5 linked regions of the Xenopus tropicalis genome follow. Each later gene encodes a partner of the first gene's protein in a complex. Links are inferred from orthologs where the notes say so. Each region holds a gene or a part of one and is shown in the gene's direction. Other genes may lie near its edges.

The links.
Region 2: arpc2 (region 1) and actr2 share a complex: the UniProt entries of both Homo sapiens proteins name them as parts of the arp2/3 complex. The link is inferred for Xenopus tropicalis from reciprocal best matches to the Homo sapiens genes ARPC2 and ACTR2.
Region 3: arpc2 (region 1) and arpc1b share a complex: the UniProt entries of both Homo sapiens proteins name them as parts of the arp2/3 complex. The link is inferred for Xenopus tropicalis from reciprocal best matches to the Homo sapiens genes ARPC2 and ARPC1B.
Region 4: arpc2 (region 1) and arpc5 share a complex: the UniProt entries of both Homo sapiens proteins name them as parts of the arp2/3 complex. The link is inferred for Xenopus tropicalis from reciprocal best matches to the Homo sapiens genes ARPC2 and ARPC5.
Region 5: arpc2 (region 1) and arpc3 share a complex: the UniProt entries of both Homo sapiens proteins name them as parts of the arp2/3 complex. The link is inferred for Xenopus tropicalis from reciprocal best matches to the Homo sapiens genes ARPC2 and ARPC3.

Annotation. Positions count from the first base shown.
Region 1 is NC_030685.2:85,244,806-85,249,046, reverse strand, and holds the start of arpc2 (actin-related protein 2/3 complex subunit 2), read left to right. Parts: upstream 1-1,434; 5' UTR 1,435-1,531; coding exon 1,532-1,605; intron 1,606-4,241. UniProt on the Homo sapiens protein: Actin-binding component of the Arp2/3 complex, a multiprotein complex that mediates actin polymerization upon stimulation by nucleation-promoting factor (NPF).
Region 2 is NC_030681.2:31,981,319-31,985,335, reverse strand, and holds the start of actr2 (actin-related protein 2), read left to right. Parts: upstream 1-1,215; 5' UTR 1,216-1,317; coding exon 1,318-1,365; intron 1,366-1,575; exon of another isoform or gene 1,576-1,590; coding exon of another isoform or gene 1,591-1,602; intron 1,603-4,017. UniProt on the Homo sapiens protein: ATP-binding component of the Arp2/3 complex, a multiprotein complex that mediates actin polymerization upon stimulation by nucleation-promoting factor (NPF).
Region 3 is NC_030685.2:41,839,501-41,843,015, forward strand, and holds part of arpc1b (actin-related protein 2/3 complex subunit 1B), read left to right. Parts: intron 1-427; coding exon 428-624; intron 625-3,515. UniProt on the Homo sapiens protein: Component of the Arp2/3 complex, a multiprotein complex that mediates actin polymerization upon stimulation by nucleation-promoting factor (NPF).
Region 4 is NC_030680.2:99,903,094-99,907,270, forward strand, and holds the start of arpc5 (actin-related protein 2/3 complex subunit 5), read left to right. Parts: upstream 1-1,376; 5' UTR 1,377-1,403; coding exon 1,404-1,543; intron 1,544-2,672; coding exon 2,673-2,745; intron 2,746-3,115; coding exon 3,116-3,292; intron 3,293-4,177. UniProt on the Homo sapiens protein: Component of the Arp2/3 complex, a multiprotein complex that mediates actin polymerization upon stimulation by nucleation-promoting factor (NPF).
Region 5 is NC_030677.2:162,790,000-162,793,514, reverse strand, and holds part of arpc3 (actin-related protein 2/3 complex subunit 3), read left to right. Parts: intron 1-2,034; coding exon 2,035-2,134; intron 2,135-2,747; coding exon 2,748-2,824; intron 2,825-2,987; coding exon 2,988-3,056; intron 3,057-3,515. UniProt on the Homo sapiens protein: Component of the Arp2/3 complex, a multiprotein complex that mediates actin polymerization upon stimulation by nucleation-promoting factor (NPF).

The DNA of each region.
Region 1 (4,241 bases):
CCCCCTCCCCAGTTACTGGGATGGCTGATAATTCCCTCTGGGCCCAGTCCGGCTGGGAAATCACTACAGAAATGGATTCAGAATGTTGCATTAACCCCAGACATGATATACATATGGGTGTGTTGAACTACAACTCTCACAGCCCCAAGATATCATGAGAGTTATAGCTTAAGAATCAACTGCAGAACTGCCCCACATCCCAGTAGAAAGTAACAGTACAATCACATACCCTATAGAGCAGGGAGCAGGGGGTAGAACTGCCCCACATCCCAGTAGAAAGTAACAGTACAATCACATACCCTATAGAGCAGGGGGTAGAACTGCCCCACATCCCAGTAGAAAGTAACAGTACAATCACATACCCTATAGAGCAGGGAGCAGGGGGTAGAACTGCCCCACATCCCAGTAGAAAGTAACAGTACAATCACATACCCTATAGAGCAGGGGGTAGAACTGCCCCACATCCCAGTAGAAAGTAACAGTACAATCACATACCCTATAGAGCAGGGGGTAGAACTGCCCCACATCCCAGTAGAAAGTAACAGTACAATCACATACCCTATAGAGCAGGGAGCAGGGGGTAGAACTGCCCCACATCCCAGTAGAAAGTAACAGTACAATCACATACCCTATAGAGCAGGGGGTAGAACTGCCCCACATCCCAGTAGAAAGTAACAGTACAATCACATACCCTATAGAGCAGGGGGTAGAACTGCCCCACATCCCAGTAGAAAGTAACAGTACAATCACATACCCTATAGAGCAGGGAGCAGGGGGTAGAACTGGCCCACATCCCAGTAGAAAGTAATGGTGTAAGCTCATACCCTATAGAGCAGGTTGTAGAACAGACAGGTTGAGCCTAAATAGAATAGAAACCTTGGTCTATACTATCCAATTGCATGCTGGGTACTGTAGTTTTATATTAATCCTAGCTGTAGGCTAATTGTAAGATACAAACTACATTACCCAGCATGCAGTGGGAAAGACACACTAGGGGAAAAAACTTTGGCTAGTTCCCAAACTACAAACCCGCCAAGGCTCCAAAACAAATAGCCCAAATCTGTACTTTGGAAACCCACCTGGGCTTTAAATTAGTAGCCCAATTTGGCGGGAAAACCGCCAACCCTGAAAACAAGTGTATCGAGCCCAGTCAGTATCAAAAGGTTTGACGGCGTGGCCATAATGCTGTACGGAATAGTGAGATGGCGGATAACTTGCGATAGTTTCAGGGTCTTTAAGGAATCTGCTCAGTGGGCGACCGTGTTGGCGTGCGGAATAGTGAGACGCCGGGAATGATTTGGTTTTACATGCAGTAATGTGGCGGCCATGTTGCGGTACGGAATTACGCGCAGCCTGGTGAGGCGCGGGACGGAGGCGGCCATGTTTCTGTACGGAGGAAGCTGCTGTGGGCGGCGCCATCTTGCAGTACGGGAAGAGGGAAGTGGTTCTGGGCAGGGAGCGGCGGCCTGTCACACACTGACACCGAGATACCGATCCGACCCCTCCCTGCTGTCCCCCGCCAGGTGCCGCCATGATCCTGCTGGAGGTGAATAACCGGATCATAGAGGAGACCCTCAACCTCAAGTTTGAAAATGCGGCTGCAGGGTGAGTGCGGGAGGGCCGGGAGCGGGGTGAGTGCGGGAGGGCCGGGGGAGCGGGGTGAGTGCGGGAGGGCCGGGGGAGCGGGGTGAGTGCGGGAGGGCCGGGAGCGGGGTGAGTGCGGGAGGGCCGGGGGAGCGGGGTGAGTGCGGGAGGGCCGGGGGAGCGGGGTGAGTGCGGGAGGGCCGGGGGAGCGGGGTGAGTGCGGGAGGTGAGTGCGGGAGGGCCGGGGGAGCGGGGTGAGTGCGGGAGGGCCGGCGGGGTAAGTGCTGGCGGTGTATAGAGGGGGCGGCCGGCTGTGTGACTGAGACCGGGGTGGGTGGGGGCCCGGGATGGGTGGGGGCCCGGGATGGGTGGGGGCCCAGCTGGACATTGACCGATTAAAAGTTTTAATATGAGTATGGTGAGAATGGGCAATTCCTTATGTTTCGGAGCCCTCACACGGTTTTACGTTATTTTACTAGTTATCCCATAGGGGGAAGTGGATTGGGGTAGGAAGAGGAGTAGAGCTAGGGGTACATACCTGAGCTGGGGCAAATAGAGTGGGACTTGGGGTACATACCTGAGCTGGGGCAAATAGAGTGGGACTTGGGGTACATACCTGAGCTGGGGCAAATAGAGTGGGACTTGGGGTACATACCTGAGCTGGGGCAAATAGAGTGGGACTTGGGGTACATACCTGAGCTGGGGCAAATAGAGTGGGACTTGGGGTACATACCTGAGCTGGGGCAAACAGTGGGACTTGGGGTACATACCTGAGCTGGGGCAAATAGAGTGGGACTTGGGGTACATACCTGAGCTGGGGCAAATAGAGTGGGACTTGGGGTACATACCTGAGCTGGGGCAAGTAGAGTGGGACTTGGGGTACATACCTGAGCTGGGGCAAGTAGAGTGGGACTTGGGGTACATACCTGAGCTGGGGCAAGTAGAGTGGGACTTGGGGTACATACCTGAGCTGGGGCAAACAGAGTGGGACTTGGGGTACATACCTGAGCTGGGGTAACAGTGGGGACTGGTAAAGAAATGCAGGGCAGAAGTTGGAGGAATAAATATGGGGTGAAGTCTAAGGTGGGGTACATATCAGGGCTGGGGTGTAAGAGGGGCAAGAATTAACAGCGGCTTCTGGAAATTAAAGTTGGGGTACAGTGAATAAGGGAGACAGGGCAGAAAATAGGGAAATGGTATTGGGGTACTATGTGGGGCTTAGGGGGGGTTACAGTGTGAGGCTGGGTGGGAATGAAGCTCACACTCTAATAAGGGCTCAAGGGGTGGGGCTGGGAGCAGGGCCGGGTTATGAACATAATATGGGGTGCAAGGAAGGTGAGACGGGGGTAGGAAAGGGCTGCCCCACTGATAGAGTTAGTGCTATGTGGCCCTCCAGCTGCTGATCCTATTACCTTCCAGCACCCCAGGGCCCCTGCAGACTGAGCCTCTCTGCCTATGAGAAAGTTGCAGAATGTTGATACATTGTAGCAGTGTCAGTTACACTATAAATGTGTCTTTGCTGAGAGAGAATGCAGAGAGCTGCAGTTAAACCTTTCCAGGCCGTGTAAGTGGCCCCTCGGGGTGGGTGCCTGTTGCATTCTTGTTGCCCCCTACACCCCCACTGCAGACACCGTGAGGCTATCGGATGTGGTAACTTCACGCTCTGCACTGAGCTCAGAGATGGGAGAATACAGAGCTGAGATATGATTCATTCTCTCACTATATATATATATATATATATATATATATATATATATATATATATATATATATATATATCTGTATTCTGCTATTGGCCCCGCCCACTGTGAGACTTCAGAGAAGGAGCTACCATATACGGGGTGGGGGCCCAACTTCCTCATCCTGGGTGCATTTCTGCGCCTGTCCTGGCAGGTCCTATCAGTAAAGATTCCTCTAGCGTTGCAGTGCATGCTGGGACAAGCCCGGCTCTACTGGTAACCAGTAAAATTGCCTGTTGGGGCATGAACCAGACTGGACCCTGCTGCTTATTAGTGTCCGATATAAATGTGTGTGGCCCTAATACCCTATGATATCCTAGTTAGCATGGAAATGTATGCATAATTATGATTAGGAGCTGCCATATGACTTGCCTTGGCTGAAGAATCCATTCTAGACTTCAAGAGGTTGGGATGATGTAGAAAGTAATATTGTGACACAGTTTGCAATTGGTCTTCACTTTTTATTTCACTTTTTGTTCTGAAGCTCTCAATTTTGGAATTTTAGCAGCTATCTGGGTCCAAAGTACCTTAGCAACCATGGTGTGGCAGAACAAGGGATTGGCGTATGGTCAGTAGAGAACCTGAATACAAAAACAAGTTATAAAAAGTTACAAACACAATAAAATTGTAGCCTCATGGGGAAGTAGTTTGTTTGGTTTTTTTTTCATTGGCTGCCGGGGTCAGTGACCCCTATTTGAATGCAGGAAAGTCAGAAGAAGGCGGCAAATGATTAAAAAATAAATAATGAAGACCAATTGAAAAGTTGCTGAGAATTGGCCATTCTATAACATACTAAAAGTTAATTTGCTGGTCATGTGACGGTCAGATTGGGCGACAGAATCTCAGTTTATTTGTCAGGGTTTAAATATATACTGCTTTCCCCACACAGACCCAATACTGACCCCCCCATTAGATTTT
Region 2 (4,017 bases), on another chromosome or scaffold:
GTAGACCCATGAGTGAGGTGTCAAATCGTGCGGCCTATTCGGGAATGGGGTGCTATGAGTTTTCTAAGGGGTGGGCGGTTAATTGCCCCTGCAGGCCAACTTTGACGGATTGTAGCGAAGAGAGGGAATTTTTTAGAAACGTGAAATTTACCACATTTGAAGAGGTTTACAACCTGTCAGAAGGGTATAAGTTTTACCCCCGGGGCAAGAGACGTCCCCAAATTTGCCTATTGACTTATAATGGGGATTTTGGCGAATAACTAGTTTGTCGTAGACCCACGAATGAGGTGTCAAACTGTGCGGCTTATTCAGGAATGGGGTGCTATGAAATTATTTGCACAATACTTTTATATTACCTGATCTGATTCCCCTGATCCTGAGGAGGCAGCCATATTTGTGCAGCAGCATTACAAAAATGAAGAATAATGACAATAGCTGGAACACTTTCAGAAATGCAGTTTAGATTAACTGAAATATGGTGAAATAAGCAATGGATAGGGTGTTTAAAGCAAGTTTGGCCAGGTCAGTCATGCTTTCTTTACTAACGTTCCCACAACCCCCCAGTTATTTTAGCATTTGTTCTTTAGGCCTGAGCCCAATGCTACAGTCGGGAGGATAAAAGCGAATGCTGTAATACACAGTGAACTGATTAATGCATAATGCTACATGTACATTCCAGCTTGATGGGCCAAAGCTAGGAATCCCCACCTGCCATTACTGAAACCCTAACTAAACTGACAGAAGCCGGACCGGGCGCGGCAGCCTCGCCCCATAGCATCGCGAGAGTACGATCAAGCCCCAACACAAGGAGCGGCCATTGCTGATTTGGGAATCAATCCCCTTACACTGAGCAGGTAATACTCATCTGATCTATCTAGTGATTAGGGCCAGCCACTGGAAATGAAGTCACTGCTCACATTATATAACTATTTAACATTAGGGGAATACACTAACCCAAAACAAAAGACCAACCATTCAGTTGCTTCTATTTCAACACATTAACTTGCCTCCTGCAACAAATGGTCATTAAGCTTATTCTAATTGGTTTTAGTGAAACTTTGTTCCCATAAAAAAGATGTCCACGGCACCGTTCGTCACAGGGCTGGGGGTTTGGCCTGCCCACAGGTTACGTCTACAGCCTTCGCTTGGTGGTACCGCCTATCTTCTCCGCTATTGGCTGACTTGTGTCACGTGCTGCCTCTTCCCGTAGGAGAAGCAGAAGTGGTGGTGCCTGGGCGGTGGGCGCACTTCCGGTCTATTGACTGACTGATAGATTGCTCTCAGGCTCCGGTGCCGGCGGAGGAGGGAAACAACATAATGGACAGCCAAGGCAGGAAGGTAGTGGTGTGCGACAACGGCACCGGGGTGAGTACTTATGCCCGCCAATTTGTATTGGGTGTTGGTTGTCACTTCCTGTTGCAGTGATAAAGCACAGTAGCTGACACCCACCGGGCCCGGCTGTGAGGTGCTGCACGGAACTGGCTGTGCGCTCAGTAGCGCGGATGTTCTGCGTCTCCAGGGACTGTCCAACCTGTAGCTGTCAAGTTGATGTTGAACTATCACTCACCCCCTGTATCTCGCCTCGGGTTCATGTTGCAAAGGGAAAGTGCAATTTATGTATTGCTATGTTATCATAAGAGAACAGCTTGTCGTTGTGCCTGCTCACAGACATCACCTTTTTATATAGTGTGAATGGGAGTTACCATACAGATTGCTCCCGCTGAATGGACTGGCATAGAATGAATGGCCGTTTTAGAATTAGGGCTGTCAGGGGATCCTGATAAAGTCATTATTCCCAGGGCCACAATCTGCCATAACAGAACCATTGTCATTGAAGTCCCTGTAAAATGTTTCTGCCAAAACGTTTATTTCTTGCACATAAGCTTGTTGTGATGCCAATAAAGGCCTGCACCATATGAGGAAGAGTAAGACAATTGGAGACATGGTGTATAATGAATTTAAAGACTGGCTTGCACAATGACAAGTGTGGGAGTAGTATTACAGGTTTGTAAAGAAGCCAAAGTGAGCTTCTTAAACAGGAAGTGGACCCTGCGACTGGGGGGCCCATGCGACTGATGAGTGGTTTCAGCATCCATTTTTGAAAAATAATGGGGGCTCTAACCTCTAGTTATGAAGCAGCTTGTTGCTACCTACTTTCCAGGACCCGTCCATACCTTTCACACTTCCTGCTGCAACAATTGGCTCATTATTCCATTTAAAACTGTGCTCGTAGTTATAGAAACCCTTGAAATATAGCCACAGCATATGTAGCGCGCCTCGCCAATTTCTTGCTTATAGGAAATTTATTAACTTTGTCACGTAGCCTTTGGGGATCTGCTCCATAGCCAGACAAGGGTGTTCTATGACCTCAGAACTACTAAGATGTCTCTAAATAGGCTCTTGAATATAAATTGTATAGTACTTTTCAGGTTGATATAGGCTGATGCTCCCCTGATCTATGCCCATCATAGCATGCTCTCGTTTGATTATTGCGTTTCAACTGGCTGACTTTCTAGTGATTGCTTTTTACAAATTAAAATGTCTGAAAAGACACCCTGCCGAGCAAAGTGAGCATGCTGCAGAGTTGTACTTTCACACCAGCATCAGATAGTTCTGCTTCTTATGAGGTTTTGCAACAGGGGTGGGGATAGGTTTTCCACCTCTTATGTATGTTGTATAGATGCTACAAACATATTTAGGCTTGTAAAAGTAGTTCTATTTCAACCAGTACTTGCACTACATTACAGTTTGAGTGTCGCTCATGTTTAATTTATTGTATTCGTGGTGGTGAGAGTAAGATTCTACTTTGAACAATAACATGAATGCACAGCTACTGGTATGAGGTCTCTCTGTAGCTGCTTGTTTCACTCCCACCTCAGGCATTCTGGGGTGTGGCGTATTCAGATTAGAGCAAAGGTGTGCATTTTACAAGCGAGTCTTTGATAAGAATGGTTCTGACTTCCCTGTTAGGCTAATGTCATACAAGGAGATACAACACCGCAACATTTCAGAAGACAAACAAGTTAAGAGAGCAGATATTTTGGTCTCCCAGCAAAGTTATTGGGAAGCCATTCATTTTGCAGCTATCGCTCGAGTAATTTTGACTCCAGAATAGCAGTGATGACTAATCCTATTGTGTGACCCAAGTTTTAAATCAAGACTTTTTATTGACTTGACTAATACACTCAAAAATCATTCCCATTGTTTAGCAAAGTAATATGGAAAAAGTGTTAAAGTTTTATTTTTATTAGCTAAAAAATAAGAACTCCAAATAATGTGGTTTTCAGTTTTCTCCACCTCTTCCACAGACACTTCGGTTATGCCCAGTTTCTCCCTGCATGCAATGGCAGGCTTCCAAGCAATAGTTACCTGAAAAATCCATGTGATGCATAAAATCCATAAGTTTTGGATTTGCATGAGTGCCAATTCCTCCACAAAGATTTGGCTGCATACCAAATAGAATCCACGCTTAAAGTACATATTCACATTTAAGATTTTTTTTTAAAGTTTGTAATATGACTTTAAGGATGTGGTTTGTCTGAATCTAACACAAATACTGTATTTGGTTCTTCCCTAGATGTCAACAGGTACAGTGCCCTATGCAGGTTCTCTTGTCTCTTATGCTCATAAATCATCAGAAATATATGAATACTGAATATTATGGTCATTTTCTAGAGAAGCAATTTTTTTTGCTTTTGGAATTCATATTCTCTATTGTACAGTGTTGAGCTGGACACACGTTAAGATTAAGAAGCATATCCTTTCCTACAATAGACACCTAATTCTGATCCAGTCATTTGCCACCCCCGCCCCACTGGCTGGCAATACACTGCGTTTGCTTCCCATTAAAAGGAAGGATATTTATTAAAAAAATATTGGAAATAATGGAATTGTTTAAAAATGACAAATTAAATGTCTTGGCTTTTAGCCATAGTTCTCCTTTAAATAGCCTGGGCTGGTTTATTTTGGGGAATGTGCTTATTCTACATTTGCCGACCACAGGCATGCTTTTCAGAG
Region 3 (3,515 bases), about 43 Mb from region 1:
GGGACAATCAGAGCAATCACAATGTTCTTAACAACATATAATTGGTGTTTTGTTTTTTTTTTGTTTTTTTTTAAACTCTTCCTCTCAAACTAGATTATGTTGGGGAATTAGATGATTGACCAAAAACCAATTATCCATATTTTTGTTAGCTTTTTTAATATTATTAATGAGATCATGGTTACCAGGGGTGCTGTGGCCATGAGTTGATAAACTAACCTCAGCAGCAGCCCCTGAGTTACCAGGGGTGGCAAAAAACAAAACTTTGGGTCTGCTAGTGGGGAAGGCGCAATTGGGCTTTCCTTCTATGAGCATCAGGCTGTTTCTAAATACCCCGAATGCAGTCAGCCTAATCTCTGTTTGTAAGAGTAGATTGTAATAATCTTTAGCACAATATGATGCAATTCCTTTAACAATTTTTTTTTGGCAGGGCCATGACTGCTATCCAGTACTTTACTCTTATGTTGAAGCTCAGGGGACTTTGAGTTTTGGGGGAAAACTTGATATCCCCAAGCAGAGTTCCCAGAGAGGGATGACTGCACGAGAGAGATTTCAAAACCTGGACAAGAAGGCCAGCTCTGATACCAACAACGTTACCCTGGACTCCTTACACAAGAACAGCATCAGGCAAGGACGCGCACACAAATGCTAGCACTTAAATTACTAGATGCACCCAAGTACTCTAATGCTAACTATCCCCTGAATTTGATTTAGTACATGGCCTATGTACCTAGAAAGCTTTCAAAATTATTTGCTACAGGCTCTTTGCCAGGGATGGGCTGCACCTCAATGATGATGGGGCAGCTGCTTTGGGGGAAAAGATGGCTAGAGGGTTGGAGGAGATTTTAAACTAGGAGTGGGGGGGGGTGCAGCAGGTAATTCTGTGGTAGACAGGATAGATGAGGTAGTGGGCATAGTAAGGGAAAATGGGGGAGGAGACTTGCTTCGGGATACTGATAATGGCAGGGAGGCCCATAAGTTGTTTACACGTCATTCTCACGCCGGAACCAGTATTAAATGTATGTTTACCAATGCAAGAAGTCTGACTGGTAAAATGGGAGAGCTGGAGGTACTGGCATTGTAGCGGTTGAACGAGTCACATGACTGGGCAGTTAATATTGGGGGTTATACATTGTTTCGGAGGGACAGGGGCAATAGAATTGGAGGAGGAGTGTGTATTTACGTTAAGCAAGAATTAAAAGCAAATATTAAAGAGGAAGCAATGGGGGTAACAGAGGGAGCTGAATCCTTATGGGTTGAGCTTCTCACAGATAGTAAAGAATCTACCAAACTAATTGTAGGGGTATGCTATAGACCCCCTAATGTAAGTGAGGAGGAGGAGGCTCAGCTGCTGTTGCAAATATCACCTGCTAGTTTGGGGCAGGTGATAATAATGGGGGATTTTAATTATCCTGATATTGACTGGAGCCATAGTACTGCCAGGACAGTAAATGGGAACAAGTTTATAAACTTGCTGCATGACAACGTTATGTCACAGGTTGTTGAGGAGCCAACCAGGAACCATGCTATATTGGATCTAGTGTTCTCTAATGGCCCAGAGTGTATAGCAAATGTGCAAGTGGTTGAACCCCTGGGTAATAGTGACCATAATGTTATTTCATTTGATGTTTGTGCAGGAAACAAATTTACACGGGGCAACAAAGACAATGAATTTTAGGAAGGCAAATTTTAGCTCCTTAAGGGCAGCGCTTCAGGGCATAGATTGGGGCATTATGTTTTCTGATAAAAACACAGAACAGAAATGGTTGTCATTTAAAATGATATTAAATCATTACTATTCGCAATTTATTCCTTTAATAAGAAAAAGTAGAAGTGTTAAGAATCACCCTATGTGGCTTAACTCTGAGGTAAAGAAGTTAATAGGGAAAAAAAGGAAAGCTTTTAAGAAATATAAGTCAGAGGGGACAGTAGCTGCGTTTAATGAATATAAACACTATAACAAGTGTTGTAAAACAGCAATCCAGAAGGCAAAGATAGAAAATGAGGAGCGCATTGCGGCAGAGGCCAAGACTAACCCCAAAAAGTTTTTTAAGTATATTAATAGTAAAAAGATGCAGGTTGAGGATGTGGCCCCATTGAGTTATAGTAACAATATGGTTTTAAATGACAACCATTTCTGCTCTGTGTTTTTATCAGAAAACATAATGCCCCAATCTATGCCCTGAAGCGCTGCCCTTAAGGAGCTAAAATTTGCCTTCCTAAAATTCATTGTCTTTGTTGCCCCGTGTAAATTTGTTTCCTGCACCAAACATCAAATGAAATAACATTATGGTCACTATTACCCAGGGGTTCAACCACTTGCACATTTGCTATACACTCTGGGCCATTAGAGAACACTAGATCCAATATAGCATGGTTCCTGGTTGGCTCCTCAACAACCTGTGACATAAAGGTGTCATGCAGCAAGTTTATAAACTTGTTCCCATTTACTGTCCTGGCAGTACTATGTACATTTTCCCTAAACACACACTAGTAAGTAAGTAAGTTGGGTTGAAAAAAGACATACGTCCATCACGTTCAACCATAATGCCTATATATAACCTGCCTAACTACTAGTTGATCCAGAGGAAGGCAAAAAACCCCATCTGAAGCCTCTCTAATTTGCAGCAGAGGGGAAAAAATTCCTTCCTGACTCCAAGATGGCAATCGGACCAATCCCTGGATCAACTTGTACTAAGAGCTATCTCCCATACCCCTGTATTCCCTCACTTGTACGGAGAGCTATCTCCCATAACCCTGTATTCCCTCACTTGCTAAGAATCCATCCAACCCCTTCTTAAATCTCTAGCGCCAATAATATAGAATGCGCTCATTCCAATTTTTATTACTTAAAATGAACTTATTCTCAAACATATGCATGAACGCATTCGCATATATAGGCGCCATGTTCGCACCCATTGTACAGCCCATCAGCTGTACATAGTACTGTTCATAATATACAAAGTAATTTTTAGTTAATATTAATTCCAACGCATCACATGCAAAATTAATTTCATGCGTTTTAAGATTTAACTTAGTTAGATAATATCGAATGCATTCAATGCCTTCAGCATGTGGAATGGTGGAATACAGATCACAGACGACGTCAAGGGAACATATCAAAACTTTTGTTTCTGGTAATTTTACCTCAGTGAGTTTATTAAAAAAATCTGTGGTGTCAGACAGATACGTATGAAGTAATTTAAAAATTGGCTGACATATAACATCCAAATAAATTGCTAATGGTTGAAATATAGATCCACACCCTGAGACTATCGGTCTCCCTGGTGGATTCTGCAAAGTTTTGTGAATCTTAGAAATTCAAAAATAAGCACCTGCTTTGAGGCCACTTGGAGCAACATGTTGCTCATGAACCACTGGTTGGGGATCACTGCCTTAAAAGAGAAGGACTAATAAAGAGTTAATCTCAAGCTGCAGGAATACCTTCAGTTGTCTCAATAGTGCCCTTAAGTCTCCCCATATTTCACCTGTTCAGATGATCATAAGCCCAACAGGAA
Region 4 (4,177 bases), on another chromosome or scaffold:
TGTCATAAAGTTGAAGTAGCAACATTTTGCCTGTACATGAGTTTGACATTATGAACACCACCAAAGTGTTGCTTATGATGAGAAAAAAACTCACATTGACTGATTTTAAACGGTACTCCAAATCCATGAAAATGGTGTCTAGAATGACAATTTACTGTGTATAAAATCACCATATTAACCAAATGCAGAAAGACTTTTAGAATCTGTCTTTTTAACAACAAAAAAAGAAGAAAGTGTGCCTAGTAAAGCCTGTCAGGCAATGGAAGGGCATAGTTGCTCCTGTGTTCCCATTCTTATTACTGTTTGACGCTATATTGAGGTTTTATGTCACCTGTGAGAACTGGGCAGGAAACTTTTTTGCCTTCCTCTGGATCAGCTACCAGTTAGGCAGGTTATATATAGGCATTATGGTTGAACTTGATGGACATATGTCTTTTTTCAACCTAACTTACTATGTTACTTGTTAGGGGTCCACAACCCGGGGGGCAATAATTGTCTGCCACAGGATATTCTTTTTTTTTTTAATTCTATATTTACACGTCTTTCGTAAGGGCTGTGACAGACGGGGAGATTAGTCGCCATGCGACAAATCTACCTTGGTGCAGGCGACTAATCTTCCCAAAATGCCATCCCACCGGCTAGAATGTAAATCGCCAGTGGGATGCCATACGCGGCGCTGAAATCGACAAAGTTTCCTCTCGAGGCAACAGCCCCAAGGAATGGAGGAGGCTCAGAAGGAAAAGGGGGAGGGGGTAGAACAAGCAAAAACTATTTTATATTAAACACTAACATTATAACAAGATCTGACAACAAGCCATTGCTATAGTACCATTACATAAACTATTGGAACATTGAATTAAGGGGATGACAACCACAGGATATTATATAAAACATGCTATTGGAAATACACATATTCCATCAGCATATGCAGCAACACAGACTTCCACAAAATGCACTCAATACACTTACAATACCTAACTTTATTTATTTAGTCTGGATTTATATAAACACCCGTCCTGCACTGCGTGAAACCCACAAAACGGTGAGGACTTTGCCAGAAAATCCTTTTTTTCTGTACAAAAGCAGTCCAGCAAGCCATGCCACAGTTTTTTTTACCATGCAACAGGTCAGGTCACTGGAAAACACCAAACTGATTATCCCCTGACACCTCCACCGCCCAGGTAAATGTACTACCCACGGGCCCAGCCTGAGTGTCCCGCCTGGGTAAAGCCCACAGAATAGACTGAACGCTTTGATACTGCCTTAATCCCGGCAGAGGTAACCACACCAGCAAAACTAGCGCTCTGACAGTCTCCGGAAGCCGAGAATAAAAGCGGAAGCCGCTGCGCCTGCGCATTGAGTACGACCGCTCCCTGCCAGCAGCACAGAGTCTCCGGTTCGGGATGGCGAAGAATACGGTGTCTGCACGCTTCCGGAAAGTAGATGTGGATGAATATGATGAGAACAAATTCGTTGACGAAGAGGAGGCGGGAGAAGGACAGCAAGGACCCGACGAGGGGGAGGTTGATAGCGCGATTCGGGGATATCCTTGTATGTTGTCTGTGCTGGCAGGGCCTGGCATTGTACCTTTGTATGAACAGACATGCTCCTAATCGCCTGACATATGGGCTGTACCGTGTCATAGTGCTAACATGCTGAAGGTGTGCGGTGTCACATGGAGAGGGCTGACTGCCACTGTTTCCACTATTCCTGTCATGCTTTGTACTCATCTTCATCTTGCAAAGCCTATACTTCCCCCTACACCCTTCTCTTTGTTTGATCTCCAAGCTAAGGTTTCAGGAATATCTACTAGAATAAACTGGCATAGTCCTGATATGGTAGCCTAATAAGCTTTCAAACTGGAGTCAATACACATTTGCTTTTGTCTATGCACCTTGTCATTTGCTATGTGTGGATATGCAGAAGCTGTGCATACCAACTCCAGTTTGCACACTGACTCCATATTACATACCTAAAGGATCTATGGCAAGCAAAATACTTGCAAACCGTATATAGAGGCTCTGCTGTGTAGGAAATGTCAGTAGTTAATCTCCTTTTCCTACAAAGAGGAACTTGCTGTGAGGCTGTGGGAGTGTCAGTCACTTTATCCTGTGCATTTTGTTTCTTTTTCTCTGTCTATCTAAACAAAAACACTTTCTTTCTCACTCTCTCTCTGTTTGAAATCACATACATTTACATGCTTTCTTATCGGTGTTTCCAAGGGTGGATAATACAATAGTGGACTTTGAGCCAAGTTACACACAGGTTGAGCACACAGTTAAACACACCTTGATGGTTCTGTAGCAGTTATTGGTCGTTGTGGTGTTATAGTACAAGCTATATGTTTTTGTGAGGCAAGCTTGGTCTTGCTTCAGGTTTAGGAATGCAGGAAGTGGCTCAGTCTCAGTCATCAGGAAGCATGGGAACTTCTGCTTGGTTGGCTTTTTTTACACTTTTGTCCCAGATCTATATTTTTTTCATTAGTTTTAACACATTTTCAATTCAGACCATATTTCCATATATATGCACAGTAGGCTTTTTCAGATTTATGCTAATATTAGGCCAGGGCCATATAGGGATCTGTGAATATAAAGCATCAACTGAAATTGTTCTGTAATTATTGTATGGCATTTCTTTTGTGTCAGTACGTTATTCCCTTAACAGCTTGCTACAGGAAACATGATGGGAGCTCTGCAAGCTGCTCTAAAGAACCCACCAATTAATACCAAGAATCAGTCTGCCAAGGTAATATGCTTCTAGTAAAATACAACAGGAAACAAATTGTTATTCATTTGCTTATTATTTGCTGAAGGATAAATAAGGTAGTTATAAAGTGGCGTATTGGGTACAGAATATACATCAGTCAGTGCTTACTTCCTCTTTGCTTTTTGTTCCTCCTGCCAATAGTTTTATTGCCACACTATTTTATAAATTATATTCATATCTTACTTTCAGCCAAACTTATTTTGCTGCACTTAATGCATTCTGTACCAATAATCAGCCACTACTCAGTTGGTCATACCAGCAAGTTTTCCAATACAGTTTTACAATTTTCTAACTCTTTATTTTAAATTTTGGAGTATGGACATTGACTTTATCATTGCTTTTTACTTAGGATCGAGCTGAGCACCTGGTGCTGAAAGTTCTAATCTCCTTTAAAGCTAATGACATAGAAAAGGCTGTTCAATCTTTAGACAAAAATAACATGGACCTCTTAATGAAATACATCTACAAGGGCTTTGAGAGTCCGTCTGACAACAGCAGTGCTGTCTTGTTGCAGTGGCATGAGAAGGTGAGCAAAGTACTATGGAGCTGACAAACACATCAGGCATGCAGAGTAGGCACCTCTATTAGGTCATCATAGTCGGAGAGAGAGAAAGGGGGACTCATAAAGCAAAAGGGGCGGGGCTTCACACTAGACAAGGAAGCCGGTAAAAGAGATGCAGCTCATCTGCTTGTAATAGAGAGACAAAGTAATTCTGGATGCAGGGAAAAAAGGTATGTTATTCTGGGGGCTAAACAGAGTAATTTTAGAGTAAATTTAGATTAAAAAAAAAAAAAAAAAGGTTTACTTATTCTTTAAAGGCATACAGTGCCTTCCCATATAAGTAGATACCTTTTAATGCTGATCCCTCTTCTAAAAATGTTTCAGACCCTGTAGGTCTCCCCTAGCAGCAGTTGTTAGGGACAAAATTATCCATGAAATCTGATTCTATATTTTTGAGTGGTAGCAGTAACTGAGCAGTTTTGGAACACTGTTAACAGCACACTTCATGCCCTCCCAAAACTTGTTCAGTGAGGGAGCATGTACACAAGGATTTAACTCCTAGGGGCAAATTTACTAATTTGTAATGATCTGTATTTTGAGATTTTTTTTGTCGCCGTCGCGACTTTTCCGTCGCGAAAAAATCGTACTCTCGTGCCGAGTACGAAAGCGCTCAATACGAAAAAGTTGCGACAACTCGCGAAAGTCGTAACGGCTACGAAAAAGTTGCAACAATTTGCGACAATTCACGAAAAAATCGCAAAATGTTCGTTTCCAATCCGATTTTTCGAGTTTCTTCTTTATGGCAAAACTAAAATATGGCTTTAACAAAATAGTTGGACAAACCCAAGCAGGGTCTGTCCAGATTGACAAAATGTTGTCACTGAATCTAGAGGGACAGGAATAAATGAT
Region 5 (3,515 bases), on another chromosome or scaffold:
GTGATAATGCCTTGGAGGGTACTTAAGCTGGCCATACACGTGGCGATCTGACGATGTTTCGTGCAACCATCGGTCGCACGAAACATCGTCAGATCCGCCACACACCATTCAGGGCTGAATCGGCAGGTAAGTAGGTAGAAACAATAGGATTTCTACCTCCTTCTGCCGATTCAGCGATGAAGGGAGATTTTGGTCAGGCGGCTTCTATGGCACCCGATCAAAATTTTCAAACTGGTCCGATCGGCGAGTCGGGCGATATCAGCAGCTTCCTGCGATATCGGTCGACTTGCTGACATACCTTCGTTTCGTACGATATTATCGGTGCGTGTATGGCCACCTTTACTCTAGATTATGCAATATAAAAAATTTTGCTGTGGCGATTTACATAGCCAGCAATGACAGATCATTTCAGTACAAAATCACCATTTGGTTCTAATCTGTTTACTCCCACATAGATCACCTGACAGGCAATAGTGCAGCACTTACTGTAACAGGGAGTGAAATAAACAGCTCTGTCTATTAGGTTCCTGATGTAAACTAGCACTGTGAGCACAGTACTTCATTTGAGGGAGAGGGCAGACTTTAGCACTTAAAATGGAAGTGTTTCAATATGGGATTGTTATGGCACATACTGCTAATATATTTAGGTATTTTATTTTTATGAAATCGCTTTGTGTGTATGAAACACCATACACAACAACCTTCTTTTAAGTGTGTGTTAAAACTCTTAGCATTTATGTACTATTATCACTGTCTAGTTTATAATAACCATACCCCTGTTTGTGTTTACACCTTGTAAAGCACTAATGTACATTTGTGGTTTTATATAATAGTGCAGCGGAAGCTTTGTGGGTTGCCATTCTGTACTATGCATGATTATCAGGGGGCTGGGATACAGGCCTGAACTGTGGGTTCTGACAAATGCCAGAGGGGCTACTGTAAGATGCCATAGACAGTCACTATATATTGGGCTGGTGGGGGCTGTTTGGGCCTCTGTGTACTTGAAATGCCAGGGCCTATTTTGAATCCCAGTCCAGACCTGCTGGAATAAATCATGGTTCTTCACATTGCTAACAGATGAAAGCCCCCTGAGCAGGTCACATGAATTTTGATCTGTTCTAAAAATGCCATAGGCCTTAATGTTTATTAGCGTGATTAGTTATGAAATTTGAGACTCAAAAGTAAAGCAAGGCCACACCTTTGTATAAAATATTGTTTCAAGGTCAAGTTTCAAGGTCAAGTATTGTATCCAAAATGTAGCTGTGCATGTTAGAACTATCCCACATAGCAATGACCCCCAGCTACTTCTGCAACATTATTTTACTCCTCCCTGAATGCTTAAAGGGGTCCTCCACGCACACAGTCTTTTGGATAAAAAGAAAACAATTCTAAGCAACTTTCATATACATAAGCAAAAGATTTTCAGTGGGTATAAAGTTATTTATAAAGATAGTTGTAATTGAAAGTACTGTTTGTTTATGTATTAAAACAATGTAACAGACCTAGAAGAGTTATGACAGATACTGTGTTCAGTAGCAATTACATTTACAAATAACTTTAAAACCATTGAATTTTTAAAATGAACGCATATTGGAAAGTTGCATACAATTACATTTTCTTTTACTGTGTAATAAATTGTTTTTGGATGGAGAAACCCTTTCATTTTAATGGTGATCCTTTTCTCTAAACGCAAAAGGATTTGGGTAACAGCATAGGCCTTAAAATCAGATATTAATTCTGAACATTATATATAAATCTTTTTATAATTGGTAATGTAAAACCGTAATTAGGAGAATTAGGATAAAATACTATAGAAACTGTCCACCTAATGGTACAGTTATTATGGCATAAATGTCTTACTGGTCAGCTAGTGGCTGCAGAAAATCTTGAAGGAATTGACTGAGGTATTGTGTAAGATTATACATTTCTAACAAAAAACAACTGTCTGGATAAAAAATAGTTTAATAAAAAACCTTTTCACACTGAGCATATATAGCTCTTAAAATGTTAAAGCTTTTCTGATTTGTGTTTCAGGCCTACCATTCAATGCTTATGGAGTCAGACACCAAGCTGATTGGTAACATGGCAATGCTACCCATAAGAAGCCAGTTTAAAGGACCAGCCCCTAGAGAAAGTAAGTCTTACCAACCCCAAATGTTTTACATAAATTCCTCATGTTATCCATGTGGCGGGTCTCAGCTTGCTGGAGGATTCCTCAATGCAACCAAGTGTTAATTCAGTAGTTCTCTTGGAATTTTTACTTTAGGCCCATCAATAGTCCGTGATGCAGTGATTGCTGCTTATTATGTAATATATATATATATATATATATATATATATATATATATATATATATATATAATTATATATTGTAATGCAAATAATAAAATTCTATATTGGAGATTATATGCATTATATAATGGGGTTTTGTGCTGCTTTGCATGTAGGTATATGTTATATATAGCTTTTTTTAATTGATCCATTAATGAGAGAGAAGGCATTGGGCATAATTTGCAACAAAAAAATATGAATTATGTTAATTAATGATATGTTGCCTATAGCAACCAATCAGATCTTGGTTGCTTGATCAAAGCGGATCAGTTGCTAAGGACAACTGCACTAGTACAATTGTTATAAATCGGCAAATATTTAAGTATTTAACTATTGCAAAATGAATATAAGTTTTTAGCTTGTATGAACATTACAGCATTTTTGTCCATAATCACTTTTGTATTTTGTCTTTCAAGCAAAAGACACAGATATCATTGATGAAGCTATTTATTACTTTAAGGCTAATGTTTTCTTCAAAAACTATGAAATAAAGGTAAGCTATCAGATCTCACTATGCAAAAAAATCTTACTGAAACGTTGCAAATTCTATATCCACATAGTGGGCACATTTCCTACTTCGCTTTATAATAATGTTTTTTTTCGCTAGTAAACAAAACTAATATTCACTGTTTGTATATAAACGCTTCTCTTTACAGAACGAGGCTGATCGGACATTAATATACATAACTCTGTATATTTCCGAATGCTTAAAAAAACTACAGAAGGTAAGATTTGGTAGCCTTTTTGTGCTACATACTACATGACTTAAAGGAGAACTATACATTATTAGGAAAAAAAAACTGACCAGCAGATAATTTATATCCCAAGTGACCTACGCATATACATGTATGTGTACTTGTATGTCACTCGTATCCACTAGTGCTGTAATGCACACCATCCCATTAGCCATGCATTGTATTTCCTTTGAATGCAGCTTAAAGAAAGCATATACATTTGTATGGCTGAAGTACTTTACACATAGCAAATTTTACCTGTCCCATACCATAAATGTTCTCTCTTTGTTTTGTTAGCTGTCCATTGTTTTACAAAAGTGCCTTTTTTATAGGCAGTGCTTCTGAATAAGGTTCTGTGTCTTGTTTAAGCTTCATTTGTGCAGAGTGCGAGATATACAAATGAACAAGGACAAGCCCTCATTGCTACAAATATGCACTTGGTGTATGTGT